Drosophila melanogaster: one gene and its partners. The protein of the gene in region 3 purifies or fractionates together with the protein of the main gene of each other region. This does not show direct contact. Each region holds a gene or a part of one and is shown on either strand. Other genes may lie near its edges.

Region 1 (11,407 bases), about 18 Mb from region 3:
TAAATATGTAAGTATTTGTATTTGTATGTTAATATCATTTGTATTGGTATTCAGGTATTTTTATCATTTCTATTATTTGGTTTAAATAGTGAACATACACACCTTCTGGCCCACTGTCCGGCTTTAACGTATCCACTGCCATGGATGAGGACTAGCAACTTTTTGGACTGCGACAGCTTTGCCGGTTGCGAGAATACAAACGAAGACCGCTCTGGAGGCTGGTCAAAAGGGATGTAGGTGCGACTAAGACCGTTTTTCTCCAGCAAAGCGTAGACAATTTCTGGGATTTGCTATGGGCGATAAAGGATACAGTATTTGTATAAGCTTATTCCTACCCACGTGGGCATATGTAATAATATTTGTGGAAAGGAATTGTGTGGTCTAGTTTCTCTTGAAGAGGATTCGTCCTAGGTGTGGATTCCTTGACATCAAGGAAACCTAATAGATTATAGTTTTCGGCAGAAGATATTCATGTGCAATGTGGGTTGAATGCGGTACATACGTTGGCTAGCTTCTGGTAGTGCTTCTCGTTTTCGGCGGCGTCGTCGCTGACGTTGTAGGAAAAGAGTTCCTTGCCAGGCTCCCCAGTGGCGGGATCGACTTTGCGCAGCACTCCTTCTGCAGGAGGCAAACGGGAAGATCATATTGTCAAGTAGCGACTTTGTGCAACATTCTACTTACCTCCATCGAATGCATATCCAAAGTTTTTCAGCTGGATGAGAGCCTCCTCGCAATTGCTAGCCGGCGGCGGTGAGTGCGACATTCGAAAACTTCTGAGGGGTCGAAATATTTGAATAAGCCTAGACCACATTACAATCGGTCGCGTGGCTTCCACACGGTTCGGCACTTACGTAGTAATAGAGCGATTGGAAAAAGCTTTTATTTATATAGAATTGTTGTTCGAGTTTTTGTTTTGATTTTTCATATGAACGCCGAACTAGGGATGGAATAAGCGCGCCACCTACTGGCCGCAAGCTCACATCGTCTAAGCGATAGGTATCGATAGCGAGGTCAGAGCACCAATTCACACCAAAACGCATCACTGCCAAAAAAAATCCCCATAATATTCGTTATAAATTAAATTTTATTAAATAACATTTTTTAATATAATATTGATCCTTTCCTGATGATTAATCATTGTCTTTTAATTGTAACCCTAGATAGAAAAGATCATACATATTTCTGTAAAACCTGCTATAACCCATCTTTCCATACAGTGCGATTAATTTGTAAGACTTTTAATCTCGCAGCCATAGAGTCCATGGATTCCTGAATCCAGCTGGAGTATGCGTTGATGCGAGTGAAGGCATAGGGTTTTAATGGGGTGCAGGCTTTTCGACCGTAGGAAAGTAATCCGTACAGCTTCTCTTTTGCCACATTCATCAAGGGAGCTCCAGAATCTCCCTGAAATGTAAAATTAAAATAACTCTTATTTAACTGATATAAAAATTATTTTATAGCATTGGTGTTTGTTCCTGGTAAGAAATTATAGGACTTCTATAAATAATATCCTAAATACCTCTTAAAAATTGCTACGTATTGCAAACCAAGGAATTTGACTGGAATATGTTTTCTAGTTTCAAATTTTATAATGATTAAATATTTGAAATGTACCTATATGTAGTTTGTTTAATTTAATTGGAAAACATATTCTTTGTTGAAAAAATTTTAATTGATTTTCGATTATGAATTTCTGGCGTATTTCTGATCCACTTACGTCGCAGGGACCTCGCGGTCCTTTCAAATGCATCGCACAGATGTCAAGCGGTTTGAGGAAAACGAAGCGATGGCTTTGCTGGCACTCATCGTTCTCCATGGTCAAGAAGGGCATCTCCTGGAGTTTTCTTATCTTGCCGACGCCAACCCGACCCCAGCCAACCAGCGAGGCCTGGGTGCCACTATCCCTTTGAGGCTTTCCAGCAAAGTTAATGCTACGAAATCGCACATCGTCGAGCGGGAATTTGGGGTAAATCCTCAACACGGCAATGTCGTTGCCGCCGAGCACCCTAAACTGGGGATGCCATCTTCTTTCCACGACGAAGAAGCGGGTCTGCTTCCGGCTGTTCAGCGAATCGGCGCCACCAGCCACGTACAGTTGTTTGGTTGGATTCGTTTGGATGCAGTGGGCTGCACTGAGCACGAACTCATTCGAAAGTATAACGCCCACGCAAAGGTGCTTGTAGTATCCTTTAAGGTTCTCTCCTATGGAGACGATGTATGGATAACGAGGGCGGAAACTTATCACCTTCGTGGTCGACACAGTTGTGGCTAACAAAGGTGTGCTATTCTGCGGGGTGTCGGAAAGCGTCTCCTGGGCTGCCGACATCGCGGCGAACCAAGCTATGGAGCAAAGAGATTGCCAACAACACATAACTGCGACCAAGTCACGAATACAAAGACGTCACAAAGACGTCTTGTAGTCAGGTTTTATCATCAAGCATCTTAACTTTATAATTGGGCATGAAATTATAATTTTCTGTATTCTCACATGGTTAACTTTAAAAGAATATACATTTAAATTCCATTATATTATCAAACTTTATAAAGTATAGCAATATTTTTTTTGAAGAGAAAAAGCTTGTACGGTTACTATCTACACGTCTGCAAAATTATGGAAACAGTTCGAAAATAGCTTAAAAGAAAATCCTCATTAGACCCCTATAACCGTGATCAATAGAAATGCTACTTGCTAGTGGCAGAATCTCTGAGGGTCTGCTTCATATTGGCCACCTGGTTGAGCTTGGCAAGGCGCTTCATGGTTTCGAGCTCCTTAATAAACGTGGCCAGCGCCTCTTTTGTGGTCGAGATGTCAGCGTCCTTTAAGTCATCCAACGTGTCCTCCTTTTCAAGTTCTAAAAGAAATTCAAAAATATATATAGATTCATATATACTCGTGACAAAAATTAGTTTTGGATACTAACCGTCCATTTCGGCTTCTATGTCATTCAGCCGATCGAGAACCAAGGATTGCTGCACCTTGATATGCTCGATCAAACGGTACTGGCACTCCTCCGGATCGATGGCAGCTTCCGGTTGCGGAACGTTCGGAAGGTCGGGGGCCTCCAATTTTGCACGCTTAACCGGTGTCAACGCAGTAGAGTCCAGATTGTCTTCGTCCCACTTTTTGGCCCATAGATAAAGCTTCGGATGACAGCGGTTGCGTGCGATGTTAATCTTCACCAGCAGCGAGTGCATCGATCGCTTGGCATCTAGCAAATTGCCGGTCAGCGTGTGCGAGCGCTTCAAGAGCTCGAATTGTTTGGTGGCCTGTGGATTTGCAGTGTGATACGCGGCCACCGGCAACTTGCCTTCGAATAGCCAGTCCTGGTCGTGCTTAAATCTCATAGAATCCCGACCCCTCTGCGGATTGCGACAAATGTAGCACACATACTTGTCCGGTACATCTGCCTCTTTGACAATTCCGTTGCATGCACCGTGTTGCCAGCATAGGCACAATTCACATTGGATCATTAGGCCGTCCTCTTCGCCATACTCGCAGATGCAGTTAATGATCTCCTCCTGCCGCATGCGCACAATTCGAATTAGTTCACCATTTTCCTTGATGTACTGTGGTGCTTTGCTTAACGTTTCAGCTGGTGGTGGGGCAAGGGCTGCATTTATGTCGGTCTGGTCATTAGATGATGGCGTGGACACCGAATCTCCCATGGCTGGTGAGTCAATGGAACTGATGGGAGTTGTTGCCGCACCACTGCGGCGTTTTTTCGAGTCGATGCGCGTATCCGGAGTGGGGGTGTTAAAAGATTGCCGTGTCTCCTCAACATCTTGTTCGGTTAAGCCATGACCAGCCGGGTTATCTGACAAAATGGGACGACGCTGAGAGCGCTGGCGGTTACTCTTTCGCGAGCCAGATGGCCGCTTCGACGGCGACAAGCGTGCACGCTTGCAGGAACGACTCAATGAAGGATTAAACGACTGAGTTGGACCAGCATCCAGAGAAACATCTTCTTGTTTAATGCCACTTTCAACAGTTGGCGACACACTTGGTGGCTCCATCTTAGGAGATAACAGGGCCTTAGTAGGCGTTATGTCAGATGGCGTTGAAGATGTGGCCGTAGCTGATACACTCTGTCGTTTAAACGATCGTGACTGCTGCAAATCCTGCTGGTGCATTTTGGCAAAGAATTGCTGGTTGGGTATTTGGTTTTTTGGCACCGCCTCAACTTGATCGATGGATGAGGGGTGCGTACGTTTGACCGCTAGTTCCTGCATCTTTGGACAGTGGCTGACGTGTCTGTAGATTTAAAGTAAGTTAGGTGTCATGAGTTTTGAATGAATATTACTCACTCTGCAAACTCCTTGTGATAATGGCGAATGTGGATTAGCAGAAAGTCTTCTTTGCGATAGGTCTTGGCGCAATCTTCGCGCGGGCATACATAAAGATTGTCTTGGATTTTGACTTTTAGGCCCCCAATGAAAGCTGAAATATGGAATTATAATTTATTTTAATATAGCACATGTTATTTCAAATTGCATATACTTACCAAAGCCATTTTCCACCACATGAGGATCTGCTAACATAAGCTGAGAGGTACCTCCCTCACTGGCTTCCAGTATTTCTGCTTCTATCTTGGGCTTTGTCTCATCGGCAGGCTGCGTCTGCGGCGACATTAACTCAGCTGGTGGCATAAGCGAGGCCACCGGTGCTTCCATGTACTGGCTTTCTTTCACCGGCATCGGAGTAGAAGGTAAAGAATGTTGCGACGTGATGCTCTGGTCCAGCGTGGAGTTCATCGACACATCCATGGGCCTGGGCTTGGGCGGTGGCTGCGGATTGTAGCCGTGTGTGTAGACGTAAGCATTGATGTCTTTGGCACGACGTCGATGGATGCTAAAGTCGTACACATCCGGGTTGTAGACCAGATTCTGGGACTCAAGGAACAACTTCAAGTCGGACTTGGAGCGGAAACGTTTGCCGCTGGGCGAGACCAGAATAACATCCCACTTGCCGAGGACGTTGGACCGCTGGTACATGTGCTTGATCCAGCCAGGAGGCAGACGCCAATCCTGCACGATAACAGTGGGTTTCTGGTGCTCGCCCACAATCAGAAAACCCTCGGTTCCAATAGGCTGGTCATTTACCCAATGACAAGTCCACTCGCCGTCATGCGGTATTTCTGGGAGTCCAAGGGATGCTGTTGGTTACGAAAGTCAAACATGAAAGTTAAGTTTAAGGCAAAACTAACATTCTCCTTTCGGTGCTCTTACCTATATCCAAACTGGCCATGTCCAGCAACGGCCAATCCCTGCGCTGAGGTGCACATTTGCTCTTCTTGCTGCCCGAAGAGCCACTGGATCCGCCAAGGCTGCCTGTGCTCGCCCGCTTCGGAGCCACAGGTGCAGAGCTTACTGGAGTTCCAACAGGAGTGGGTGACTTTGAGGCACCCTCTTCCGCTACCTGAACAGGGGGCAACTGCTTGGGCATCTTGTTCATGTGCACGGCGCGCACGTTCTTAACGTAACCATCGTCGAAGAGAACCTCGTAGGTATCGTTGCCCAGCAACTTGCGTATGGTTCCTGGAAACTTACGCGGCCCCGACCAGCGGGCCATGCACTTCTCGTCCAGCTCAAAGACGGGCAGCACACGGTTGCTGAGGCGCTGCCTCAGCCGCTCCGACTTGATGGCCATCCACTCCTGAAAGCTGCCGCTGGTCGAAGGTGACACCTTTAGCTTGTGATTGCGCTCAAAGCGCACGAGTAGCGTCTGCTCCGTCTCGTTAACTTCCACGATGCGGGCGGGCAACCAGTTGCCTTCCACACTGAGCGCCTCCAAACGGGCGCCAATAGTCAGGTTATGTGGGTTGCTGTACTTGGGCGGTGTGCCGGGCAAAGGTGAGTTCGAACTGGAAGCGGATCCAGGAGCTGGGACTGTGGCTTCGCTGCTTGCGGCTACCGGAGTCCCTGAGGGTTCCTTTGCAGCTGCCTTGTTTGCATCTTCTCCACTTTCGGGAGTATTTTTAACGTCATCCGCCGCCTTGCCTGTTTTACCTTCCTCCGTGGCCTTGCGTTCTGCAGATTCCGACAGGATTTGCGCAACTATTTGGTCTACCGTAGCTTTGATCACATCGTCATTGGTCGATGACTGAGCATTTCCCGGGGTTTCAGTCGTTCCCTCCACGCTGGCGTGCTGAAGTGCCCGTTGGTCTGCTTCGATCTCCGCGGTATCCATCTTGCCCCATGGAAAAACGGTGGGAAAGACGCGCGGCTTGAGCAGATACTTCCCATTGCGGATAGTGTTGAAGTCCAAACGGCGGAAGTGGCGTGAGCAGACCAGCACGCTCTTGGTGATCTGGCGCTCCAGGCTGATGCGAGAGTTTTTGATCCATATGGCGCGGATGATGGGATCTAGGGGGAAGGAGTGGTAAGTCACGCCGTTGTGCTCCAACAGACGCGACGTCGACGGGCAGTTGGCCACGCAGCACCGGCGGCCCATGGCGATGAAGTTCACCCAATTCTCTATTTTGTTTGCCTATGTGCAAACGCACACTTTGCTAAGTGATGAAATAATCCAGGAAACGACGCGAAAATTATCCAGAAAAATACAGCGCAATAAATTAGTGATACCAAATTGGGGTACAGTAAAAACGTGTGCGTCGGCAAACTATCGATAGTTAGATATTGCCACCTTGTTGGAAAAGTTCAAAACTATTTAACGATATTTTTTGAATTTTATAAAAAATAAATTTTAAATGACTTTATTGCATAGATCTTTATTGTGGTGATAAATAAATACTACTTTCGATAAATAAATAAATATTACTTTAGAGCCTGAGTAGGTTGAATTTAATTACTTTTTATTTCTGACTATCTCAATTTTCATGAAACTTTACATCAATCTTCCTGCCATAAATTAACTATTAAAGTTGGTAAATACCCGCTGCACAATTAATATTAATCGGTGCGTTAATGCATTTTAGCGAAGTGAGGGTGCCATAAATTTCCTCAGCTCGGCGGAAAAAGGATCACGTGCCGATACGCCACCGTTCCCAAGGCCACCGAAAGCCTATTTGAAATGCAATTAATGTACGCTTTTGGGCTTACATGTCACCACGTTCGCCAAAAGGCAGACACCTTGCAAAAAGCTAACCAAATACGATATTATCCATTCGACAAATGCTTCTGGAAATATGTATTTCAACACTGGGTTTCAAAGTTTGAGGAGCAGCTATTTACGCATACTGCTAAAATAAACACTCATTGTAGTTTTTAATTACAATATTTCACCCGGTCATTAGCATGCAAGAAACAACTGACAAATTTAAATGTGGCGCCTGCTGCTTGATCGGTTGATTGAGCCGCCAAAAAAATCGATTGAAGTATGGAGCTTTGGCCTTCAAATCGAAATATGTGAGGAAAATGTGATGGCACATTTTGAAAGAATAAAATATTAAGATTCTCTATATTGTGTCAATATCTTATGTATATATGTGGCTTGACCCCTCGAATTCCGTAACTAAACAGTTTAGTTCCATTACAAATATTGTTTTAGAATGATAGCCGGAAACTCACGGTCGAAGAGCTTCCTGTTTTTGGGTACTTCCCTGAAAACGAGGTCTCTGGGTCAATCGGTTGACTTTTAGATCTTGGGCGTGTTTGCGAAATTGACACGGAGCCAATATCAAATGGTGTTGACTTTGATTCAGTGGATTGCCAATATTTGTAATCAAATCACGGCTGGAGCATAAAGCAAACTTTAATTATAAAATGCTTTTATTGTCATATGCAGCTGACATAAATATTAAATAACGTGAGTAATTGACGTTGCTAAGCCGAATAATTTAGCATTTTATAAATTTTGGTCAGTCAAAAACTGACATTGAGGGGGCCACTCGAAGGGAAATCCAAAATGGGTGGTAAACACGGTTAGATTTCCGTTTGCATAACTATTAGTGAACATATTTGCATAAATTATCGACACTCGATGAAATTGGGACGACTGCACCTGACCTCACTCTCTTTTTGTGCAAATAATTCAACAATATGTAACCTGTGCAAAAATATTTTTCAAAAACAGAAAACCGAAAACAGAAATATGTACAAGGAGAGTACAAAACTTTTGGTCCAACTGACGGCGGCACTTTCTCCTTTAATATTTACCCAACTCATCGACAAATTGGCCAGGCCCATTCCCCAGCCTCATCTCATCGGTCCCAGCCGCATAGCCCATAAGTCAGCCCCTTCTCCCTCTCCCTCTCCCGATCCCGATCCCCATTCCGATACCGTCTGGGAACTCATTGCGTAAATATGAGGGCATGCAATGCGGTAATAGGCTGGCTGCGCGTCTCTTGACAGTTGGGCCCAGTTTCCCGGTTCCTTATCACATGATTATTACCCAAAAATATTATCGCTAAATGATGATGATCATTTTGGGCTTGAGAGTGCCCACGGGAATTCATGTAACGCCGAGTAGCTCACACAAATTAAATAAATTATGCTTGCCCGAAAGACATGGCTTAAGCAAATACACGTGTTGACCATGTAAATGGGTTGCCTAATTTATTATAATTTTTATTGCTCTTTGTCGTTCAGCATTGCACGCCGGTCATTTGAAATTTGAAATTTAATATGTGGAATTTTTTCAATGCTAGCAATTGGGATTTTTCCAAACTCTGTGTACAATATATTGAAATAATTTTACTTAACACCCACCTCTGTGGCATAGTTTAATAATAATCGATACAAATATTTTGCTAAATATTATAGAAATTTCTGAGAAATGGGCGCGGCTGGCCCAGCAGCATCCAGCATAATCCGCCCAAAGTGTCCAACGAGATACATGTGTCAGGTAATGAGCGGCACCTGCCTTCGTGTAACTTTTGCCGTTTTACCGATTGCCATAAAGTGCGATTTAACAGATACCTTTGCTTTTTCAAAAACCGCCATTTTTTGGTTTCGGCTGTGTTCGGTCGACATGCTCAACTGCACGTGAGTTGAAGATGTAAAAATAAAGAAAATAACGCGCGGAGGAGACAAAACTTATCGAGGCGATCATGTTGAAATGCGTGAATTGAGCTTGGGTTTTGGGTTTTTGGGTTTTCGGGTTTGCTCGGCTTACTCTTCACTTTCAACTGGTGAAATTTTCGTACTCATCGGGGCTGACCTTGATCTGGGTCCCAAGCTGTGGAGAAAATAATGTAGATGGGCATCATTTCTTATGCTTATGCAATGGCAAGTGTGTTTGGGTATATCTTCTGGCTATTTATGGCCGGCATTATGTAACGTTTGGCAGCTCATTTAAAATTATAAGTACGATTAGTTGTTATATAGGTGCGTATTTAATGTAGCCACAGAACTTATTGATTAATAAGTGACCTTTACATTTCAATTATGTCGATTTCAATCGACATAAATTGTTGGTCAACACATCAGTTGAGATTATGCAATGAGCAAAGCGACAAAAGCACTGGCAAATACATACATTTCTGAGACGAAGCAAACAATAGCGTAAAATGCATTTATTTATGCAAAGAGACAGGAGACGCAGCACACAAAAAAAGTTCGAAATTTCCGTGCCAAAAACGATTTTGGCTCAAGTGGTGTCGTGTTTGTGAAGCTAATTAGATGGGAGTTAGCCCAATCCATTCAACGGCCATTCAAAGCGAAGTGGTGCAAAATGATGCGCAAGCCAAAGAAACGCCACCCATCGCCCACCGATCGTCCCCCCCTCCCCTTTTTTTGCACCACTTTGGCCACTTATCATTCACGGTTGCTGGTTAAACAGCCACTGAAGATTAGGCCATTCTCCCCGTGCTCCAATTTATAAATGGGTTACAGATTGCTCTTAAAATATATACATACATAGGTGCAAATTCACGAGTATCTACTTAAATCAAAAATTCTAGCAAGTCGCTAGAATTCTACTAATCTACTAATCTTAACATTTAAGTTTTTAGCTTAAAATACTTCTGGCCTAACCATTTTCCAATCTATTCAAAACATTTAAAAGGAATTTTTCAAAATGAATCAATCTCTAAATTTATTGCCTCTGTAGTACAGGGTATTCAAATTTCGACTTGCATACAATCAGCTCCGTTGATTGTTACAATGTTTCTCACACTAAAAATCCTGAAAATAAAAAGTTAAATTAAAAGAAAGTATATGGTTTTTATAAAGAAAAAAGAAGTGTTCAACAGTAGGACTTCATGGAATAAACATTTTCGAGTGTAGTACTGCCGCCAAACCAAAAAAAAAGCCCCACCACTCATTCTCTCTTTTTGGGGTACGGCGCTCTCATCGAATTGAGTGGATGGATCGATGCGACTCTCGGTTCGTATATAAGGCGGGGTTCCCCAATGCTTTTGACATTCCAGTTGATCAGTGCCAGCCGATCGGTCGGTAGAGAGAAGTGCGTCGCGAGTCCAAAAAAGAAAATCGAGCCCGCAGAAAGTGCCAGTGAATAGACTGATAAAGCAAACAAAAATGAAAGCTTTCATTATCGCCGGAGTGTGCGTGTTGAGCGTGCTGAGCCTGGGATCCGCTCAGTTCCAGAACGGACGTCTGGAGCCGCCGAATCCGCAGCTCTGTGCCCAGCGTGTCATTCACGAGAAGACTCCCGATGGCAAGGGGTGAGTCAGCAGGATATGCTCACCAAAACATAAACTATAGGGTTTGCTTCTCTCCCCGCAGTTACTTCTTCTCGTGGCGCGACCCTCAGCTGAAGGGCGTGGAGGAGGACTGGCTGACCGCCAGGAACTACTGCCGCAGGCGCTGCATGGACTCCGTTTCCCTGGAGACCAGTTTGGAGAACGAGTGGATCAAGCAGTATGTTGTGCGCGAGAATGTAAGTACAAATTTCAGGGGCTATAACGATGAAAATAAATTAAGGCAAGAAATGATAAGAGAAATCGAAAGACTTAGGAAACGAACTCAAGTATAGGTGTTGTCATGAATAGCACACAAATGCGCACACGCAAAGCTAATCTTTTATCTCAACTTTCATAAATATTTACTCCGAAAATGTTGAGTCTATAAATGGATTGTCCCAAGTCAATAAATTAAACCTTACGTAAGTCCCACTTATGATATTGGAACCATGTCCAAACTAATAAATTGATCTGAACTTCAATGCACCTGTTTGTTAAACATTTAAGCATTGATAGATCAAACAAATGACCGAAAATACCATTGAAATGTGCAACTCATTCACTATGTATATGTTTTTTTTTCCGGCGAAAGGCTATTATAAATGCAAAATCAAACACTAATAAATGGACCGCATCAATGTGGACTTTTACACCTTAAAGTCGAAAAAGCTTGCCAATAATTTATTGTACCTGCATCTATTAGATTTTGTTTCCGTTGTTTTCTCACCTGTTTTGCATGACATTATGTCACCTTTCTTAATTTGTTTGGCAAGTTAAATAACGTCAGTTTAGCCGCGTGTGAACTG
Region 2 (11,535 bases), on a different chromosome or scaffold from region 3:
TGCTTCAAGGTTGTCCTGTCGCGAGGAAGGGGGTGGTGGATCAGAAGGCTTCCTTCTGCCACCGTTGTGTCTCCTTTAACGTGGCAAACTTTTGGCCAACACAATTCCCGCCAGACATCCATGAGATGGAATAAGACTCAAGGAACGGTGGGTGGCGACAGGTGAGCGAAGAGGCGACAAAATACCATAATGCAAAGTCAGTTTCCTGGCAGTTTCACGAAACTTTTAGTAAGTCGTTTTAGCTGGACAATGACAAGAGAACTTTTTTTAATTTTACAACCAACAGAAACTAGAAATAAACTATAATATAGTCCGCAAAAACATATAAAATGCATTAAAAACTTCAAAACAAATGACAGTAGATATGAAATTAACCAGTTTTTATTGCTTTTTAAGTTAACTAATCCATAAAAATAAACACCTTTAATCAGCGTTACCTTAAATAATCGTTTCACTTCGTGTTGCTTGTAATTTCAGGTATGTTCCACTACGTCACATCACATGAACTATTCGAATTCAAAAGACGCAAAATGAAACTAATCTCGGCATGGAGGATTTGTCAACTACCAAATCCGGATCAGTGTCACCTGTGTCTTTTCATCACGTGACTGCAAGGTAGTGGCCGATTCCCAAAATCTTTGTACTTAAATAAAATGCTGGAAAATATAAATATTTCATACAAACTATCTCGAGTACCAAGAAATCGTAATTTAAAAAGACCTACAAAATAAGTATATAATTTAAAAAGCAAAATCCTGTTTAAAAGGTAACATGAAATTAAGGCTACACTAAAATGACATCTTGCTGCACCTGAAGTCGGTAATAAAAAATGGCAGACAGATAAAAATTTGCGAAAAAAGCACAGAATTTCTTGTCCACTTTTTCCTTTCTGGCGCAATCAATTTTTTGGCGTAATCAAGCTGCTCCTGTTTTTCCTCCTGCTGATTTTCCTTCTTTTCCGGCGAGTGTTTGCCCTGGAAAATATTGAAAGTGCCAGACACACATTGAATAAATGGAGGAGCACAGATGGAGTGGGTGGAAAATGGGCGGAATGGAGTTCGCCAGTTTGCAATGTAAGTGGCATTCGCCATTTTCCTCCCGCTTTTCCACCGCTCACTTTCACATCATTTGCATGTTATTAAGCGTTATTTAATGGGCAACTTCGTTGAGAGAAGGGTGGGGGGGGGGGTGCATTTGTAAGGGCAACTATCAGGATTTTGCACCCACTCTCATTTTCCTTCTGCCCGGAATATGCGAAATCAAAAGTGCAGCTTTTCCACCCACTTTTCGCACAGCTTTTCGCTCGAATAACCGAGCTTATTAGTATTTGTGCAGGGGATTTGTGTGAAGGATTTGCGGTGTCCTTTACCAGGATGTTGAATTTCCCCAAAAAAAAAGGGAATGGAATGGAAAAAGTTGAGTGAAGCACGACGAATTTAATGAAAGGATTTGGAAGCCGAGTTTTATTACTAGGATTACAGTTTTAGCAGCATAGTTAAAGAGTTTTTGCTCTTTGTATTTTGTATTTTGAGTAATGCATAAATCTGAAATTTATACGCAATTTGATTTTAAGAACATTTACTACATAAGAATATGAATTTTTAATTTGAAAGCCATAAATTAAAGTTGAACAGTCTGGTTATCAAAAGGCCACCAAATGTGCAACAATCTTGCCGCCGAAATTAGGCTAAACACAAAATAATAATAATAAGCCATAAACAAACGCACATGCTGGCTGCTGCTGGCCCAGTGGGTTTCTGGTCCGACAAATTGCCACAAATTAAGACCAGAGTGAATACAAAAAAAAAAAGCGAAACCAAAGTTAAGGTATGGGCCAAATGCTCCCGGCAGGTGGTAAGCGAAGCGAGACTGCAACCGAAATTGCATTGCGAATGCAACCAGCAGCCGGCTAAAGACATTTTTAAATCAAATTCGATTTGGGTCTTGGCATTTTGGCGATTTACTGTGCCTGCGAATCGCCCGGCTGACTCTCCACATAATTTTCCAATTGCGTAAGTCGCTGGGAAATGATCAGGAAAATATTCAAGATTTTTTTTTGTCACATGAAAAATGGTGCAAAAATCGTAGGAGATATTTTAACTTGCCTACATATATGCAAATTTCACTTTTAACTCATAAAATTAATTTGAATTTGCCAAAAGTAGTGGGTAAAAAAGTTTTTTTTTTTGTTTGTGTTAAAACAACCGTAGAATGCACTTGTTTTTAATCACCCAATTAAATCCTTTTGTTTGCACTGTATTATCCTTGAAAACTCTGGTTGAACCAACCAATTGGATCCTTTCAGTATCCTTGCAGCTTTACTTTGTAATCCTTGACGATCTGCTCGTGATCACGTTTGTCGCGCTACTGAAGTTCCAAGCACTTCGAAATGTCCGTATTACCCTTGACGCCTCAAAAATACAGTGCTATACATAATTGTGTTTCTATATATCTACACGATTTCGGACTGTACATACAATGTAATAAAATATATGACTGGATACTAAAGCAAATAAGAAATCACAAGTAAAACTCAAAATCTGCGCAAGCGGCATTCGGGATCCGCGAAAATGTTCTTTGGCTTTTGAGAGAGCTTCACTTTGCAATTTGCTGACTAGTCAAAAAGTGCACTTAACCCTTTAGGTCCAAAAAAAAAAAACGGTTTATTAAATGTAAATATTAAATTAAATTCTTTTATGATTATTATTGTATCGTGATTATGTATCGTTCAAATAATAGCAATTTTTTAAGAGCACTTTAATACCAAAATATTAAATATTGTTAAAATACCGACAAAAACAATAATAGGAGATATGAGATTTTAAATTAGTTTTCTGCATAAATATACATCATATATTAGAATATACCTCAAATGGGTTAAAGTGTACTGCACAAACTAAAGAGGCATTTAACAAGAAACCCACATATATATATTTAGATATATATATATATACAAGTATGTGTAGGACCATCCATACACTTGCCCGCGAAACTTCAATGAAACTCTAGACTTTTTTCCAAGCTGCCGGCAGTGAGCTGCGAATTGCAATTCTAAGCAAAATATCGGTCATCAGAATACAGTTTTACCAGCACTGGTCGCAGAGCAGCCGTGTGAACACACTTGTGGTTTCATAAATGGCAGAGAAATCTTGGACTAACGCACTTCGAGCCGAAGCATTTGAATACATTTCCCACGCCGCTGCTGCTTCCTGTACTGCTCCGTCGCTTTTCAGCAATTGCACCCATGTATGCATAAGGTTTGTACATAGGACCGGGGAACCATTATATGGTAACCCAAATCCCAGACATGGAATTTGCACAGGTTTGCAAGCGAAGCGTTCTCCGAATTCCCAGAACTTAAATAAAAATAAACTTTTTGTCGACTTTTTTTTATTTGTTCTTTATATGAACGAAATTATAATCCTTGACATTGAGGAAAGAGGGTAATTCAAGACCCCTTAATCACTAATTAATTAATGGCTTAACATATTTACACAGATATCGGCTAAGTACGAAAATGTATCAGGCACGCAATTAAAACATTGTCCAATTCTACATTTTATTATGGGTTAAAGTAGCAGCTATCGACGATGATGTTGTCGACGTGGCCGTCACCTTGGAAACGGGCCCAATGTTTACCACTCGCCGCAAGCCAGGAGATCCAGAAGATGCCGATGCGGTTGACGAAATGACGGCGCCACCCGGTATTCGATTGCCTAGCATCTGCACTGGCAACTGCTTGAGTCCGGTTGCCGATTTAAAGTAGATATTTCGTACAGAACCTTTGCCGTCGCCAGCAACAGTTTTGGATGCACCAGGTGCGGTATTGATCATCTGGAGGTAGCTCTTGGTGCCCACGTTGCCCGCTTGACGGATGGTGCCTTGAGCCAGAACGGAACCAGTAGGCTTGATTGTCTGCACATTGACGGTCTTGGCAACCTTGGATCCTGTGGCTGGATCAACCATAATGGGACTACTGGAAGCTGTGGTCGTCACTGCACCTCCGGTGTTTGGGGTGCTCACAATCCTTATAGGGACACGATGAGTACCAGGCGCCACATTTCCCATTGGCTTAATTGTACTCCGGTTGAGGTACACAACTTTATTCTGAGTGGCAAGTGTTCCACCGGGCGATGAATTTAGCAATTGCTGAAGGCCTTTGTTAAGCACAATATTCCCCGGCTTGCTGACGGCAGTAATGCTGCCACTGGTAACCATGCCCGAGGGCTTATTTGCCTCCTTAATGATTTTCTGACTGATGATCAACGGGCTCTTATTCGCACTTCGAATGGGGGCTGCGAAAAATGTTTAATTAAAATCTAGTATATAAACCATAACACTTAACGCACCTGGTTTAATATCCTTATCCGCCTGTTGGTGCTCGGGAATATTGCCTTCGTTATCGGCAAAAACAATGGGCATATCGATAATGTTGGACAAATCCATATTCGCAGAGCCGCTGCTAGAACCTGTAGTGGGTACGCTCTTGGTGAGATGCAGCATGGTCATGCCGTTGGCGTTCTTAAAAACTGTGTACTTTTTCTGTCCCGTTCCTGTTGATGTCGATGAACCAGCGGCACCTGTTGATGTGGCTGCTGTTGCAAACTGCTGCGTTTGTCCCGAGGGCGTTTTTAAGGTGATGATCTGCTGGCCACTAACGGATGAGCATGGTAGGGTCTTCACCACGCTGCCAATGTTGGCGGTGCTGCTTGTCCCGACACTCGGTTTGTTTAGCGTGTAGTTAATGAGTTTGCTCTGTGACGGTAGCGATTTGATTTGAACGAACTGGCTGGATGGGATCATCTTAATCTTGGTGCCAGCTGCGAGATTGACGGGCGGCAGTTGTTTTCCCAAAACACCGGGAGTTATCACCTTTGGCAGGCTCGCTGAACCACCTGCAGTGGTTTGGGCATCTCCATAGTCCTGGGCATCATCTAGTATGAATTCAATGGATTGGTTAGGTTCTTCGCCGCTCAGTTTTGGTTGGTCGGGATGAGGTGCACCTTTTTGGCTAACAGAGCGTGCCGAGCCACCGACATTGGGAAGGGGGCGTGTTCGGGGTCTTCCAACTGAGGGGGTAAGAATGTTAGTTTATGAATCGGGCGAGCCAAACAACAAGTGGCAGTAGAGGAAGACCCGAGATGAATTTACCCTTTCGCTTCACAGCAAACGGATCAATGAGGCGCGGTGGCTTCGGCTTGTGGACGCGATCTTCGTCGAAGGAACAATTTTGATTGGGAACGTTATGGTTAAGTGGTTAGTGATTAAACATGCGGGATGGATGGTAGGATGATAAGGTTATGGCGATTTAATGGTCTAATTTTGGAAAACTGATACTTACTGTGAGGAACAAACTTTGTTTTGGAAGGCTGACCCATTGAGTCGTCTAAACCACCGTCCATCTTTCGCTTACGCATCTGCTGAACAGCCTTGTTTGCGTTTCCATCGGCCAGGATGTGAGGTGACTGCTTTGGCAGTCGCTGGTAGCCCTGCTGATGCATTAAACATGTGGGCATACGCGGTCCAGGTGGATTGCTTAGCGTTCTGTTCACAAACTCAAAGATTTCCTCCTGCAATTTATATCATAAGTAAATACAGTATTTTCATTACAAATATTCTATTTTGAACTTACGACAACCATGTAATCAACCATCGACTGTGTAACGCCTTCTATTCGCCGCTTGCTCTTAGGCACACGCAGTGCATCATCTGCACTACCCACTACGACCAACGAAGATTCGGACTGCATTCGTTCGCGTAACCCTTCCATTTCCTCCTGACTTGTGCGTGCGGAATTTTGTCCGATGACAAAGAGTATCGGCGCTTTTATGTCCAACATGCGGTCATCGGGGGTTCCGCGTGGCCCACGTATTGTGTTGTAAGCAAATCCCATGCAAACCACACAGGCAACGCTCTCCGATAGAGCAACCTGTAGAGCCAAGGCAGCTCCAGCATTAAATCCAACGAGTATGATGCCACGACTGGGGTTTTCTGTGCGCAATTCGTTGATTTTGACGCGTGTGATAGACACAATGGTTTCGGCCACATGGTCCAGATTCTGATTCCCAATTCTGTTGTCTATAAAAGTGAAATGGTTAAATAAGATAATCTAGATAGCTCTGCTAGTAAACCTACTTGTATTCGGCAGCGAAATCTGAACCACCTGAGTGATAGTAGATAATGCCTGGTACCACTTCTGCATGCGGTCCGAAACTGTTCCAGTTGTCGGCATGTTGGGCAGCACCACCATGATGGCGTTATGCGTTAGCTGACGGGACTTGGGCATGATATTTGGTTCCCATCGTTTTTTCATCACCGGTGCCAGCAGTTCCTGACTATTATTTAAGGGCCTACCAAACAGCATCTTGTCCACTAAAGTGGGCAACTTGGTCTTCAGAGTCTGAAGAATTTCCAGATAAGAGGCCATATACGAAGGCGACAAGTGCTCCATGAGCAGAGCATGGATCCACTGCGTAATGCGTGACTCCCAAGCCACGCTGGCTAGAAGTTTGCGAAACCTGGACGCGGATTTGTCCGAGCTTATGCGACGATGGATAGGCTCGTGCTGACGTTTGTCGTTGGCCAAGCGTGCCAACTGATCCTGGTCCAGAATTGAGCAGACCTTCTCGAAAACCATCTCCTGCATGGGCGTCCAATTAAATCTGTGTGGTGGGAGATGTTGAATGGTAAAGCTTTTCTATTGACTAAGGTCGAGAACTTACTTATTAACGCGCGCCACCCAATCTTGCTCATCCGAATTGTTGTTCTTTACGTATTTTGCAATACGAGCGCATTCATTCATTGCCTCCTTGGCGACTACCTCATCATAGGGCGGCACATGGGCCTGCTGAATCTCTGACAGCTCCTCGTGCTGCGGCGGATATGTGTGGCAACTGGGACACTGTGGCGGATGGCGGACCAGAATGTTCCTAGCGGGCGTTAGGCCGTTGTGAACATCGCTGCGCACTGGCGTATCTCGCATATAGCTGTGCTCCATTTTCTCGCTAAAGGAGGATTCACTAGGGGCCGAAATGGTACTGGACTAAAGGATAAAAGCATTAATTAGTGTTTAATACCGACAAGAAGGTACATTAGTGAGGTGAGTGATTCGGTTGGGGATCTTAGGGCGCATGCAGTGCTGGTTAGTGGGTGATATGATGCCTTTAGTTTAAACATTACACTCTCTGTTGGCGTGCAGGGCGATGTAACGACCAGGGCGGGCGACTTAGCCATCGGCGGCCCCTTTGGCGGAGAACTGACTTTGATGCAACCCGACATGGAGGCAGCGCTGCCCAGGGAGCCAGCCTTTACCACATAATAAGCGGCACTGGATCCGCCCATTGGTAAATTGTTTGTTTTTGTTGCGGTTGTCGCCGCCGACGTTGCTGTTGTTGTGTGTGTATGTGTGCTGTATGTCGTTCTGCCTGTTCCAACGCTAGTCAGAAATTTGCTGGGACTGTAGGTTATAATCGAGCCTCTGGCCTCTGAGGTCTGCGGCTGATTTTTGCTGACACTTCCCGATTCCTTCATAGTTAATTTTTAATAATTAATAATGCGTTAACTGGGTACCCCCAAATTGATGTTCTTCTTCTTTTCTACGTCGTTGTCGCGCTTGCGATGGTAAGAAACAGCTGGGAATGCCACAAGGCGCTAGCCTACGGCCCAATCAAAGGTCACTCGCGATTCGCACTGATATTAACCAATTTTACCAGCAATTCTTATTGATTTTCTGGTATTTCCTAGTACACAACTGCGAATTTTCTTTCTAGCAAAATATGGCGTGCCAAACGTGGCCTTGCCACATCTAACAGTAGAACTTTAGTCCGGCAACACCGCGGCTACCCCGAACCTCACGCCCCGCGCTGATAATTATTCTATTTCACAACAAAACGCCAACGAAACGAATATATTTGATGTGGGGCAAGTGGAGCAATTACTCCTTTATTCAGGATGTTACTTACACTCTCGCTGGGCGTGGGGGTGGTTGGCGGCATTAGCTCTATGACGCCGTCCAGTTCCTGGTCCGCGATTTTCTGTTCCTGCTCCTGGGACACATTCTGCACTAAGTTGCCGCCGCTCTGCAGAAAATCATTGAAGCAATCGAAGAACGAAGACATATTTCGATGTATCTTTAATTAAAATAGAGATTGTTTTTAGTTTTGACAACAAAAACGCGACGAAATTAAGCGTAGCGTCAGAAACCGAGTGATTGGGGCTAGTGCTGCCACCTCGTTCCGTTGTTTTTACGCGCCTGGCAACACCATTGCGTGCAGAAACAGCTGATCACGTTTAGTTTCAGCGGGAAATTTTCTAAAATTTCCACAAATTTTGTAAATTTTAGCTGAACTAGTACTCTCCGTAGGCATGGACGAGCTGCAGAAGTTGGAGTACCTTTCGCTGGTCTCGAAGATTTGCACTGAGCTAGACAACCACTTGGGCATCAACGACAAGGACCTGGCCGAGTTTATCATCGATTTAGAAAACAAAAATCGCACATATGACACATTTCGCAAGGCTTTGCTGGATAATGGCGCCGAATTCCCAGACTCCCTGGTCCAGAACCTGCAGCGCATCATTAATCTTATGCGCCCCAGCAGACCTGGCGGCGCTAGCCAGGAGAAAACTGTCGGCGACAAGAAGGAAGACAAGAAATCGCAACTTTTGAAAATGTTTCCCGGCCTCGCTTTGCCCAATGACACCTACAGCAAAAAGGAGGAGAGCGATGACGATGAGAAGGTGAAGGCGAAACCGGAGAAGCATTCCGAAACGCACAAAAAAACCGATATGAGCGATGTGGATGCAGCTATGATGGAGCTGGAAGCGCTGGCCCCTGGCGAGGGTGCCACATTGGTAAGACCACACAAAGAAGTCAGTTCCAGGGACCGCCACAAGCGCCGAAGTAGGGATCGAGACACAAAAAGAAGAAGTAGGTCGCGGGAGGATAGGCACTCTGATCGCCGCAGAAGCAGATCGCGTGACAAGGAACGCCGTCGTCGCAGCAGATCCCGAGACAATCGCCGCAGAAGCAGGTCTCGCGAGGATCGCGATCGTGACAGAGATCGACGCCACAAGAGTTCCAGCTCAAGAGATCACCACGAACGCCGAAGACGAAGCCGATCTCGTTCCACAGAACGGAGAGATAGGAGAGATCGTTCGAGGGACTGCAGTGAAAAGATGCCCCCACCATCTGCCGCCATGACCGATGATCCGGAGGCGGGCAAGATCTATTCCGGCAAGATAGCTAATATTGTACCCTTTGGTTGCTTCGTACAGCTTTTTGGACTGCGGAAACGCTGGGAAGGCTTAGTACACATCTCACAACTAAGAGCAGAAGGACGCGTGACAGATGTAACGGAGGTAGTCACTCGGAATCAGACTGTTAAAGTGAAAGTAATGTCAATAACTGGTCAAAAAGTGTCCTTGTCGATGAAAGAGGTGGATCAGGACTCTGGAAAGGATCTTAATCCACTGTCACACGCGCCAGAAGACGATGAGTCTCTACGAGATCGAAATCCAGATGGCCCCTTTAGCAGCAGCACATCGATGCTGAATTTGCAAGGCAATGGAATGGAAGGTGACGAGCACGAGTCCAGGAAACGTGTGACTAGGATCTCCAGCCCTGAGCGCTGGGAAATCAAGCAAATGATTAGTTCCGGTGTGTTGGACAGAAGTGAGATGCCTGATTTCGACGAGGAAACAGGCTTATTGCCGAAAGACGAAGACGACGAAGCTGATATCGAGATTGAGATTGTGGAAGAGGAGCCACCCTTCCTCTCCGGGCATGGTAGAGCCTTACATGATCTGTCTCCAGTGAGAATTGTAAAGAATCCCGATGGCTCACTGGCTCAAGCTGCCATGATGCAGTCGGCTTTGTCTAAGGAGCGTCGCGAGCAGAAGATGTTGCAGCGTGAACAAGAGATAGAAGCTATGCCAACGAGCCTCAATAAGAACTGGATAGACCCACTGCCGGAGGATGAGAGCCGCAGCCTGGCGGCCAACATGCGAGGAATGGCTGCTGCTCCTCCTGAAGTTCCAGAATGGAAAAAGCATGTCATTGGCGGCAAGAAATCCTCCTTCGGTAAGAAGACTGATCTGACGCTAGTGGAGCAGCGACAGTCGTTGCCCATATACAAACTGCGAGATGATCTGATCAAAGCGGTCACGGACAACCAGATCCTTATTGTGATTGGAGAAACTGGTTCGGGAAAAACCACACAGATCACTCAGTATTTAGGCGAATGTGGATTTACTGCTAGAGGAAAGATTGGCTGCACCCAACCCAGAAGAGTGGCTGCCATGTCGGTGGCCAAGCGTGTGGCGGAGGAGTACGGTTGCAGGTTAGGCCAGGAGGTTGGCTACACCATTCGTTTCGAGGATTGCACCAGTCCGGAAACCATAATTAAGTACATGACTGACGGTATGTTGCTCCGTGAGTGCCTAATGGAGGCGGAGCTAAAAAGTTATTCGGTCATTATGTTGGATGAGGCTCACGAACGGACAATCCATACTGATGTTCTCTTCGGCCTGCTGAAGACAGCCGTGCAAAAGCGACCAGAACTGAAGCTAATTGTCACATCAGCCACCTTGGACGCGGTGAAGTTCTCGCAGTACTTCTTCAAGGCGCCAATCTTCACAATTCCCGGAAGAACCTTCCCCGTGGAGGTTTTATATACCAAGGAACCAGAGACGGACTATTTGGATGCTTCTCTGATTACAGTGATGCAAATCCATTTGCGAGAACCTCCTGGTGACATTCTGCTCTTCCTTACGGGTCAGGAAGAAATCGACACGGCTTGTGAAATTTTGTACGAGCGAATGAAGAGTTTGGGACCGGATGTCCCCGAGCTGATTATCCTGCCGGTGTACTCCGCGTTGCCATCCGAAATGCAGACCCGTATATTTGATCCTGCGCCCGCTGGCAGCCGAAAGGTTGTTATAGCCACCAATATTGCTGAAACTTCACTTACAATCGATGGCATATTCTATGTGGTAGATCCTGGTTTCGTGAAACAGAAGGTGTACAACTCGAAAACGGGCATGGACTCGCTGGTGGTCACTCCCATTTCACAAGCGGCAGCAAAGCAAAGAGCGGGAAGAGCCGGACGTACAGGCCCAGGAAAAACGTACCGTCTCTATACGGAACGTGCGTATCGAGATGAAATGCTGCCCACGCCGGTGCCAGAAATCCAGCGAACCAATTTGGCCACAACAGTACTCCAACTAAAGACAATGGGAATTAACGATCTGCTGCACTTTGATTTCATGGACGCCCCGCCTGTGGAATCGCTGGTGATGGCGCTCGAGCAACTACATTCCCTATCAGCATTGGATGACGAAGGCCTGCTTACTCGACTGGGCAGACGCATGGCGGAGTTTCCCCTCGAGCCGAATCTATCCAAGATGCTTATAATGTCCGTCGCTCTGCAGTGTTCCGATGAGATTTTGACTATTGTTTCGATGCTCAGTGTGCAGAACGTGTTTTACAGGCCAAAGGACAAGCAGGCACTGGCGGATCAGAAAAAGGCCAAATTCAAT
Region 3 (9,936 bases):
CTGCGAGAAGACATTGTCCTCCAAACACACATCCTCCAACTTGACGCGCCACTTAATCCGGAACCACAAGCTCTTGGCCCGATCAATTTTTGCCGGCGAGGAGGGTAAGATGCTGGCGGAGCTGAAGGACGAGCTGGAAGCCTCCGCCTCCGAGGACCTGAGCATGGAGCTCGGAGAGGGCGAGACCAAGTCGGCGGTGCGCGGCATCATGAACGCGAAGCTCGAACAAGAGCAGATGGAGCGGCACAGCCAGGAGGAGATGCGCAACAAGGTCATTGGGAAGAACAATAAACTGTGGGCGCACTTTATCCGCATCTCCGAATTCATGGCCAAATGTATGCACTGCGGCAAGACGCTCTCCTCGAAGCACTCGTCCTCCAATCTGATGCGACACATTGTGCGTCGTCACACCAGCCTGGCCAAGACGCTGAATCACTCGCACCAGCACCTCATGACACCCAAGAAGGACTCCTACGCCAGCCTGGAGCGTAGGCAGGCGGCTGATCCCCTGGAGAAAGTCAACTTTGACGATGTGGACAGCATCATCGAAAAGGTGGCCGATCACCTTGAAGAAGAGGTTTGTCCACGGACCACTTCCGCTCCCCTACCCACATTTAGCCTCTACATGCTTTCGATCTTTGATTTAAGGTCACTTCGATTTCGCTGCAGGAACCCTTCTACGAGTACGTTGTGGACAACTCGGACTCCGTGGTGGTGGACAGGTGCGATGAGCCGGAGCCGGCGGAGATGCAGAACATGATTCCGCAGGACAGCGCCTCGCTGGCGGAGTCCACCACACAGCTGGACGAGAAGCTCAAGGCGGAAACGATATACTACAACGAGATGGCCGAGTTGGCCAGGGCCAAGCGGCGGCTCATTGATCTGCAGACCAAAAAGCTTCTCCTGGACATGAACGTAGTGGACAACTAGCCCATCGACGATTGGAACGGCTTGTGTTTGTAGGTGGATAAGGCGGGCAATATGATTATTTACACTTAGGTATGATTATACTTTAAACGATTTTATGATCTGAGCATTTATTGTGCGGGGGATTAATTTCCACGAGGGAAGGGCATAGAAATTGAAAGAGAAGTAATTTGGCCATTGCATGTTATTCTTATGTCCTTTTATTAATTTATATATTATTTGTAAAAAGTGCCGGCTTAAAAGCGATCATTTCAGCTCGTAAATAAACTTCACCGTTACGCTTAGAGTTAGTAACAAACTGTAGCTCAATTATGTGTTATTAATATGCTTAATCTAGGATTCTACTCATTGTAACTAAACGCACATTCAATAGTGAGCACTGTACTTAAACGGTGGGAAATACCGGATATTTGCACTACAAGATTAATAATTATGTTGCGGTCACACTCCTCGATAACTTCCAATATCGAAGTAGGTTGTGTCAGTTATCGCTAGAAAGCAGGCAGAGATTTGTTTACTTCTGCGAAGATTAATTCAGCAGAAGCACGGAAATACGGATCCTTAATCATGACTAGATATTCACGTAAAAACCAGGCCTTGCTTCAACTCCCCGTTCCTTGGAGAACAGGAACGTAAAACCGGCCTATAAGGGTATGTTAGCCGGGTATCTGGTGCACCCACATTATTAAGTTGAGACCCCTCTTAGTTTCCTAGGGCTTGGAACGGAGGGGGAAAGTGATACTTCAAACGTGTCAAGGAGTAGGGTAGAACGCTCTTGATGTGTTCAGCGCAGAGCACCAATCAGTAGCGATCAGCAGCAACGTAAGCGAAACGGACCATCGGACTCAAATGGGAAGAATCACAAACGGAGATGCAGATGCATCTGTCTATTTAGGCCTGGAAGTACAAGGAGTTGATCCAGGACAACCCGACAATGGCCCTGGTAGACGAGCGCCACGCAGACGGCTGCTTGCTCTTCGAAAAGTGGTGTCAGATCGAGGCGAGGCTGGCTCGCATTGTGGCGGATAGACGGGCGGCGGTGCCTCAAGGACCTCACCCGTTGCTTGACTCCTCATTTGTTATTCGAGGACACCGGATGATCAGGTGCTAGGACGGCTTCTCTAAGATCTTCCTAGAGGATTGCATTGAGCAATTAGCCGACGCATGGGATGGACTATGCATTAAGCTTGTTCACGCCAGCGAAATACCCAGTTCAAGTCAAGCGGCCCGTTTTGTTCATCAAGTAAGTAAGAGCTTTTCCTGTTTGTACAAAGACAATACAGTTTATGAAATAAATAAACGATTGAAGGAACGAATTTGGATTGTTTTTAAATTCCGCCCTGGTTTGCGCCACCGCTGATTGTCTATCATGGGTTGCAACCACGTGGAACTACAGTTATTTTTAGGCCTTTTTTCGCGCTTCGATGGTAAACACATTTTGTTTATTGCTTAGCTCTGAGAAACCAAGACGCAATAATTGACAAAATGTCCAGTATTTGGACAAAAAGGAAGGACTCTTTCTGCAATAACGAAAATATAAGGGCTCAGAAGTTCGAGGATGTGATTGTAATCGATGACAATGGTAAGTCGTGTGTTGTCAGCCTTCTCGATGCTAACTGCTACACTTGGTCCTTCAAGATCGTGGCGACTCTCTCCGGAGTGTAAAATCCGAGCCCCCTGAAGAAAAGCCCCGCTTATCTCCACAGGACGCTAATCAAAAACGTGCAGTAAAGGAGGAGAAGGAAATGTCCAGGCGCGCACGCGCTCGAGCCAAGAAAATACGGAATACAGAGGCAAGAGCAGCGAAATCGGTGGTTACCAGGGGTGCGGGTAAAAAAGCAAGGAAGCGTAAGAAGCAAAATAAAGCGGCACTCAAGAAGGCTAGTGAACTTGAACCCAAAAAGGCAAAGGGCTCCAAGGAGGCTAGTGCCCACAAGAAGGCAAAGGGACCCAAGAATACAAGTCCTCCTATGGCTGCGAAGCCCAATTTGGCAAAGAGTGACAACCTGACGATGGCCCTGGTGGACGAGCTCCACGAAGACGGCCGTCTGCTTAACGAAAGGTGGCAGGAGGTCGAGGCCCAGCTGGCGTACATGGTGACTGACAGAGTCATGGCCATGCCGGGGGGTCCCGTCCCGTCCTTCGATAGCTCAGACGTAGTTCGTGGCCACCGAGTGATCCGGTGCGAAGACGGATTTTCAAAGGTATTCCTGTCGGACTGTGTTGCCGCGATTAGCAACTCGTGGCATGACATGCGCATCAAGCTCGTCCATGTCAGCGATGTACCATTTGCGCCTCAGGCGCGCATCTGGTTGCCCACGGGTCAAACGGACCACAACCGGATCATGATCTGCTTGAGAGCCCAGAACCTAAATGTGGACATGTCGGACTGGTCCATCCTCAGGGCGGAGGAAGTCATGGAGATCAGTCAGAGTTTCCTGCTCCTTATCAACCGGAGGTGCATCCCGCAACTGGATGCAGTGGACTACAAGTTGCGCTATGGCATACGAATGGCCCAGATCCAGCTCATTTTAAGCGAAGCAGACGATTTGCCATCGGAGTTCGACAACTACCACCCATTTTGCCATTTTCCCCATTAAACCATAAATCCTCAGGCTCTAAGCTATGTTTATTAGAGTAATAATATTGTTAGAGAAAGAAACGAATTTCATAACCTAATAAATCTCCAATTGGTTTTAGATGCCAACTTAGACAGCATTTTTATCAAATTTAACCTTAATCTTAAGATATTTTTAAATATAGAAACTCAACATGGGAGGTGGGATACCCTCTTTTGGTTCATGGCGATGCTGACTGGTTGGCAAGCGTGACAACGTGTGGGGTATTTATGCTCTACTTTGCTGTGGTCACACTGTTTCCACAGCATTTTATTTCATTTCGCTTCGTCTGAAAAATCAGAGAACAATTTCTAAAAAGCGGCAAAAATCTTGAAAGGACGATGTCCAGCTTTTCGCCAAACCAATTGCGGCAGTGCGCCCGCTTCACCGGCACGCCCTGCACTCCGGACAAGGAGCACCAGCTGCGGGAGCAGATCCACAGCGAGCTGGTCAAGATTAAGTACTGCGCCAATCCCACCTACGAGTGCAGCCTGATGCGGATCGAGGGCTACGAGTATTGCATCCGACACATCCTGCGCGACCCGCGCTCCAACTTCCGACAGTGCTCGCACGTCTACTCGAACGGCAGGAAGTGCATCAACGCGGTGGCCAAGTATGACAACAAGAAGGAGCTGATCCTGACGACCCTCTGCTTCGAGCACAACCGGCAGACGCAGCTGCAGAAGACGCACATGAATGTGGGCCGCATTCGCAGCCGGGTGGAGACCAACGAGACCCTGCTGCACAGCCTCTCATCGCACATTAATGTGGAGGACATAAAGCCAGAGGTGAAAAAGATCGAACGCGATGATGATGAAATCGATGTGGTCTCACCCCACGTGACGCCATTTGGTATGTCTTGCTGACTATAAACCGAGCTGAAATCTAATTTTCCTCACTTCTAGTCACTCAGGATCACCGCAATTCCATAGGACATGTTGTGGAGAGCTCTCGCAAGCGACGTCGCATTTTGGATTATGCTTCCGATAGTTCCAGCAACGATGCAGATCCGCCCTGTCTCAGGAACACCGCCCAGGACATTGAGTTTTACGAATCTGACCATGAGAGTATCGATTCGGAGGATGATGATCCTTTGAAGTAAGATTTGATTTATTCGTAGCACTATTTTTTAAGGAAATTTTAATTTTTTCTTCTCCCTTGTAGACACGCTGGCGTCTTTACACGCGCAGAGGCAGTAAAGATTGCCGAAACGAAGCTGATCAAGCTTCAGGGTCTTTACCGCGAGCAGATTTCATATCTGCAGAACGTGCTGAGGCAGCGACGTCGCAAGTATTTGCACGATATACGACGCGAGCGAGAGCTATATTGTAAGTTTCACTTGCCTTTAGGTATGCAGGATAATGTGTCTTATGCCACACTTTCAGGCAGCATTCACGATCAGCTAAAGGACACGCCACACGAGCGAAAGCTGTACGAGCAGCTAAAGGCGCTGAATAGCTATCATCGACGCCAGGGCGTCGAGGCGGTGCTCTACAAGAAACTGAAGGAGAAGCGAGCTCGCGACGCCTTGTACGCAGCCAAGTCGTCGAGCAACCCGAAGTGCGTCTTCACCGAAGGCGGTGTCAAGTGTGGTGAGCGAACGCTGCCCTGCTGCAAGCACTGCCGCAAGCACATTCTGGAGGATAAGCGCCAGGTGCTGTTCCGAGCCTGCGGCGTGGAGCGGAGTGGGGTGGTCTGCCAGGAGCCAGTGGCTAGCATTCTCGAAGACTCCAGTTGCGTACTGCACCTGACCGTGGCGCCGGCTAAGCGCCAGTATATACAAAAGGTGCGTTGATCAAACACTAACCCAACCCACGCCATAACCACCACAAGTAACTGCTTATATATTCCAACTGTCCACTCACCCATTGCCATAAGTTGTGTTGCACATGACTGCTGAAACTATAGTAAGCCAACTGTAAGACAGTTCGAACAAACAATACTGCGTAACTAGTATTTAGGCTTGATTTGTAGTAAAGCTAAGTATATCTAGAGAAACAACACGAAACACATGTATATAAGTGCTAGTACTGTCTAAGCAAGCCCTTTGTGATCGACCCTGAATAAATTGCCGACCTCTCATCCCCCAGTTTTATGAAGTTCCCAGCACTCCGCCGGTAGAAAGTATTTTCGCAGCAGGCCGTGGTCTCGATAACTTTGTCGGAGAAGACCCACGGAATGAGCCGCAGCCGGAGGGGGATGACCTCTTGGATTTTGCCAATGGTATATTCGATTTTGACCTTGACGGAGTTGACGATCTGGCAAACTCCCTCGACGATGATTACTCCATGTTCCTGGACATGGACAGTGACCTGGGCTTAGCCATTGAAGATGACGGTGTGGAGAGCGATCCTGTAGACTTAGGCCTCGAGGAGGAGGGCGATGGCGGGTCCAACGACTCAGTTGGTCCAGCTGAAAGTCAGGCTCAAGATAACCTCATCGCAGACAACTTTGAGTTAGAAGAACCATCCGTGCAAGACAATAACGAACTTAACTTTGATATCGACGAGTCGGAGAGCAATGTGAACGAAGTGTTGCGCTTGCTCGAGGGCATAGAACACATGCCCTGGTTCGATGCCCTCATGAACTAGTCTAATAGCGTAGTAAACGTAATAACCCACCATACTAACCCAAATCCAGAAAAAAGCCCAAAGTATCTCTTCTTCTCATGCTTGCAATTCCCTTTACTTCACAGAAATGCGAATCGGAGACCGAGGAGGAGGAGACCCAGTCCACCAGCTTGATTAGCACCATAAAAAAGGAGGAGGAGGACCCCTCGGATAAGCTGTATACGAGTCAAGCCCTCAACGTGACCACCGCACATGGCGAAGACAACAAGGGCGACGTGAAGCCCAGGGAGTACGCCCCAAACAGATCTTAAACTAATTTTTAAGCCCTCGTAGATTAAATGTTTACTGTTGCAATCATAGAAACCTAGATATAAATCTCCGACACGAAAATGTCAGTTGGTTTTGTACTCAGCCATTGTAGTTTTTGGTGCATTCGGGTGTAAGGAACCCCTAATAAATAGGCACTCTTAAGTTAAAAATCTATTTATTTACATTTATTGGCTTTCCATAGTTTATACAACTTAAACAGTTTATATTAATGCATGTACATGTTTTCAACAATTCCTAAAGAAAACGACTGCGTCTGGCAGTTTCGTAAGTGTGTGGGAAGTATGCACTCTGCGTTCGCTTAAATATAATGACTGTAATTATTTGATCTTAAGCACGGTTAAATATATTAGTTATCAGTTCCTCCATTCTGCATCTCCGCTCAGGTATTTACAGATTGCTCGTGCTATGATCATAAATTGATGGCAACCGCTCTCGTTGTTAAAATGCACTATTAAAATTACAAATTGGCAGCTAAGTATATTAACAAGTCTGTAAAATGTATCGAAACCAGAATATTCCTAGTGTATTCCCTACAGTTCCGTAGTTGTTTCCACCTCCGACCTATCCAGATCGTTTAGATATGAGAACCCTATTTGGCCATAGTCCCTCTTCCCGAAGGACACGTTCTCATTGGTGCTGCTCAGGTGGTTGTGATCGGAATTGGATCTGCAGGATAGAGGGTGTTACCAATTATAGTTATAGTTATAAACTAGGAAGTAAGCTATGCATACCTTTGAAACAGCGGGTTGGTGATGGGCACCTCTCCGCCGTACAGGCGATTGTTGAGCTGGCCATTCCGACCCAGCGTGGCGTTCATCAGCTCCCCGTTGCCATTGAGCAATCCCACGTCGCCGAAGGTGTTTCCCCGCCTGCCCATGGTGCTGTAGGCATTGTTCTTGGCATGGGCCATGTTGTTGGGCCCAGTTGGGTCTATGTTGTAGGCGCCGTTCTGGTAGTGGTTGCTGTTCTGGTGCTTGATGCGGCCCAAAGTCAGGGTGCCCGAGAGGGCTCCGTTCGGCGGAGATGCCAGCGGATTGGCGTTGTTGCGGGTGTTCATCTCCAGGGTTCTATTGAAGGTGTTCTGCCTGTTGTTGATGGCCAGATTGTTGTTCATGCTGGCGTTATTGAGATTCTTATGGCGGCGCAGAGTGGCAATCGTGGCCGTGGTGGCATCCGAGTGGGAGGGACTGGACTGGCCACCGCCGTTGGTGTTCTCCTTGTGCGTTATGTAGCTAACATTGTCCAGCGAGAAGGCATGGTTCTTGGCACTAAAGTCCAGCTGCAGATCATCGTCCACATCCGGTGGCACTGCCATGGCCAGCATCTGGGTCTCGTACTCCTTCATGTTGGCTATGGTTTCGCTGGCACTCGAGGCCTGCTGGTTAACGATCACGGGATCGTAGCGGGGAGGATTCGTGGAGGAGTACTGGCGCATCCGCTGCTTGAAGTTCTTGTACCTATAAAGAGCAAGTGTGTATGCAAAGATTTAAGTAAAAGTAAATAGAGGTTACATGTTATCCACTCACTTTGACCAAGAGATGCATATGTAAATGATGCCAATCGTGCCCAGGATGAGTATAACAAGTGATATGGCAATCAGAGTGAAGGGGAAGACTTCGTTGTCGATGGCTACGGCGGCTTTGACCTGGAAGTGCCAAAGCTATATATAGTATATCCTAAGAAAAAGTAGTAGTAGAATTAGTTGCCCACCTTGTGAACGTGCTCCTTCCTCTCCAGGGGAAACGATATATTCTCGGCTGTGGCTCGCGGCAGGGCTATGTTCAGCTCCGATCGCGCAGCCGGTTCCAGTAAAGTGGTCTCCACAATGCTGTCCTTACGGCTGACGAGCTGCTCCGTCTTGGGATCGATGAGGTAGAACCATATGTCCGTAGCAGCCGGGTTCTCGATCACCGATCCGTTCTTGGCCAGGTACTTCTGGCTGCTCATCCGTTCAATGCCGCTGACCAGGCCGGTCTTCTTGTCCAGCAGCTCCTCCAGCTCCGTGTAGTAGTTGCGGAGATCGCTGGGCGCTGCATTCGGGAAGGATAGCGCCATGCGGTTGATGTCCGCCAGCTTATTGACCACTATCCTGGCCCTCGTGCGATGGGATCCCTGCTCCTGGCCATCGCTATCACGGGCTTCCACCAAAAAGGTGAGTGGAAAGTCGTTTTCGTTCTTGAAGTGCTTGGCAGTTCGTAGAACTCCAGTGTCTTCGGACATCATGAAGAAGCTGGTGGGCTGGAAACATCATATGATAATTATCAAAAAAAAAAATTCATTGCCTAATGTAGAGTATAGATTTCTCACCATGTTAACCCGGTTTTCATCGTCGTCGTAGAGAGTGTAGCGAACGGTTCCAAATTTCCCCGAATCACGATCTGTGGCTCGCACCTGCAAAATGGTTGTGTCAACATCCATTTCCTCCGTCACCACCGTGTAGAAGGTGTCTTGCTGGCCGCGCAGCCTGTTAAACTCGAACTCCGGTGCGTTGTCGTTCTCGTCCTGGACTATGATCTCCACGCTGGTGGTGTCCTTCAGGGGATTGACGAAGTAGCGATGCGATGTCAGGCGCAACTGGAGGCTGTACGAGCTCTTGTTCTCGAAGTCCAAAGGTTGGATGAGCAGTAAGTTACAGCCATGATCGGCGGAGCTCAGATTGAAGATGCCCCCCCCGTTGCCACTGACGAATTCACACCTGAATGCCGGCGGCCCGTCGCCAGACGTCTTGGAATTCACAATCTGAATGAGCTTAAGGGTGCTATTGGCTTCCATTGACTCCGGCACACTGGTGGTGTAGCTGTCGTCGCTGAAGGCCAAGCCTATACTTTCACTGCTCATGCCCGTTCCACTTTCCAGCTTATTGTCCAATTTGATTTCATTATTGCCGCTGGACAAAAGATGGTGTACGTCGACGCGCAGTGGAGCCACCGAGCTCAGCTGTGGTTCCCCCAGGTCGTATGCCCGTATGTCCACCTGGTACTCCGTGTCCTCCTCTTTGCGCAGTTCATCTCTTATGCGCACCGCTCCGGTGTCGGGATCCACTTGGAAGTATTTGGGCGCCTTGCCGCGACCCACGATCTCGTAGCGCACCACATTTCCCGGCGAAGTGCCATCGCCATCGATCGCGGGCAGAGTGGCTATAATGGTTCCTATGCCCTGGTCGTCGTTCACGGTCACCGGATCGGGAACTGTTATAAACCGCGGAGGCAGATCGTTGCGATCCTCCACATCAACCACCAGCAGGATTGTGTCGCCTGGTCCATTGCCATCGTTCTCTATGGTTCCAATGGTCAGCTGGTGCTGCTTCTGGCTTTCATAGTCCAATCCCTTAATGGTCCTCACCTCTCCGCTCTTCTCCGAAACCTTGAAGAGCTCTGCGTTGCCCTTTCGGAGCACATAGGTGATCTCCGGCATGGAGTCGGGATCGAAGGCTTGCACAGTGGCCACCAGGAAGTTCTCCTCGTTCTCCGGAATGTGGACATCAATGCGGG

What was found.
Region 1: the proteins of dgt1 (region 3) and MBD-R2 purify together in Drosophila melanogaster (affinity purification with western blotting, with the first as the bait; one study listed by BioGRID). This does not show direct contact.
Region 2: the proteins of dgt1 (region 3) and Rcd1 purify together in Drosophila melanogaster (affinity purification with western blotting; 2 studies listed by BioGRID). This does not show direct contact.

Annotation. Positions count from the first base shown.
Region 1 is NT_033777.3:12,349,693-12,361,099, forward strand, and holds MBD-R2 (MBD-R2), read right to left. Parts: upstream 6,574-11,407; 5' UTR 6,452-6,573; coding exon 5,227-6,451; intron 5,154-5,226; coding exon 4,503-5,153; intron 4,439-4,502; coding exon 4,306-4,438; intron 4,253-4,305; coding exon 2,922-4,252; intron 2,853-2,921; coding exon 2,683-2,852; 3' UTR 2,451-2,682; downstream 1-2,450. Other genes in the region: CG10038 (uncharacterized protein), read right to left, coding at 103-290, 503-618, 682-811; CG10041 (uncharacterized protein), read right to left, coding at 1,195-1,404, 1,718-2,371; CG4115 (uncharacterized protein), read left to right, coding at 10,438-10,583, 10,645-10,798. UniProt on the Drosophila melanogaster protein: Component of the non-specific lethal (NLS) complex, a multiprotein complex that promotes expression of housekeeping genes on X chromosome and autosomes.
Region 2 is NT_033778.4:14,144,885-14,156,419, forward strand, and holds Rcd1 (reduction in Cnn dots 1), read right to left. Parts: upstream 7,825-11,535; 5' UTR 7,531-7,824; coding exon 7,180-7,530; intron 7,043-7,179; coding exon 6,723-7,042; intron 6,663-6,722; coding exon 6,136-6,662; intron 6,079-6,135; coding exon 5,633-6,078; intron 5,571-5,632; coding exon 5,342-5,570; intron 5,212-5,341; coding exon 5,152-5,211; intron 5,070-5,151; coding exon 4,350-5,069; intron 4,296-4,349; coding exon 3,553-4,295; 3' UTR 3,379-3,552; downstream 1-3,378. Other genes in the region: pea (peanuts), read left to right, coding at 8,365-11,535.
Region 3 is NT_033777.3:29,851,348-29,861,283, reverse strand, and holds dgt1 (dim gamma-tubulin 1), read left to right. Parts: upstream 1-3,792; 5' UTR 3,793-3,886; coding exon 3,887-4,397; intron 4,398-4,450; coding exon 4,451-4,643; intron 4,644-4,709; coding exon 4,710-4,873; intron 4,874-4,930; coding exon 4,931-5,331; coding exon of another isoform or gene 5,332-5,340; exon of another isoform or gene 5,341-5,635; coding exon 5,636-6,136; 3' UTR 6,137-6,154; intron 6,155-6,240; coding exon of another isoform or gene 6,241-6,426; 3' UTR 6,427-6,589; downstream 6,590-9,936. Other genes in the region: CG15514 (uncharacterized protein), read left to right, coding at 1-577, 649-930; CG7824 (uncharacterized protein), read left to right, coding at 2,413-2,509, 2,566-3,527; Cad99C (cadherin 99C), read right to left, coding at 6,976-7,111, 7,177-7,902, 7,972-8,090, 8,156-8,683, 8,753-9,936.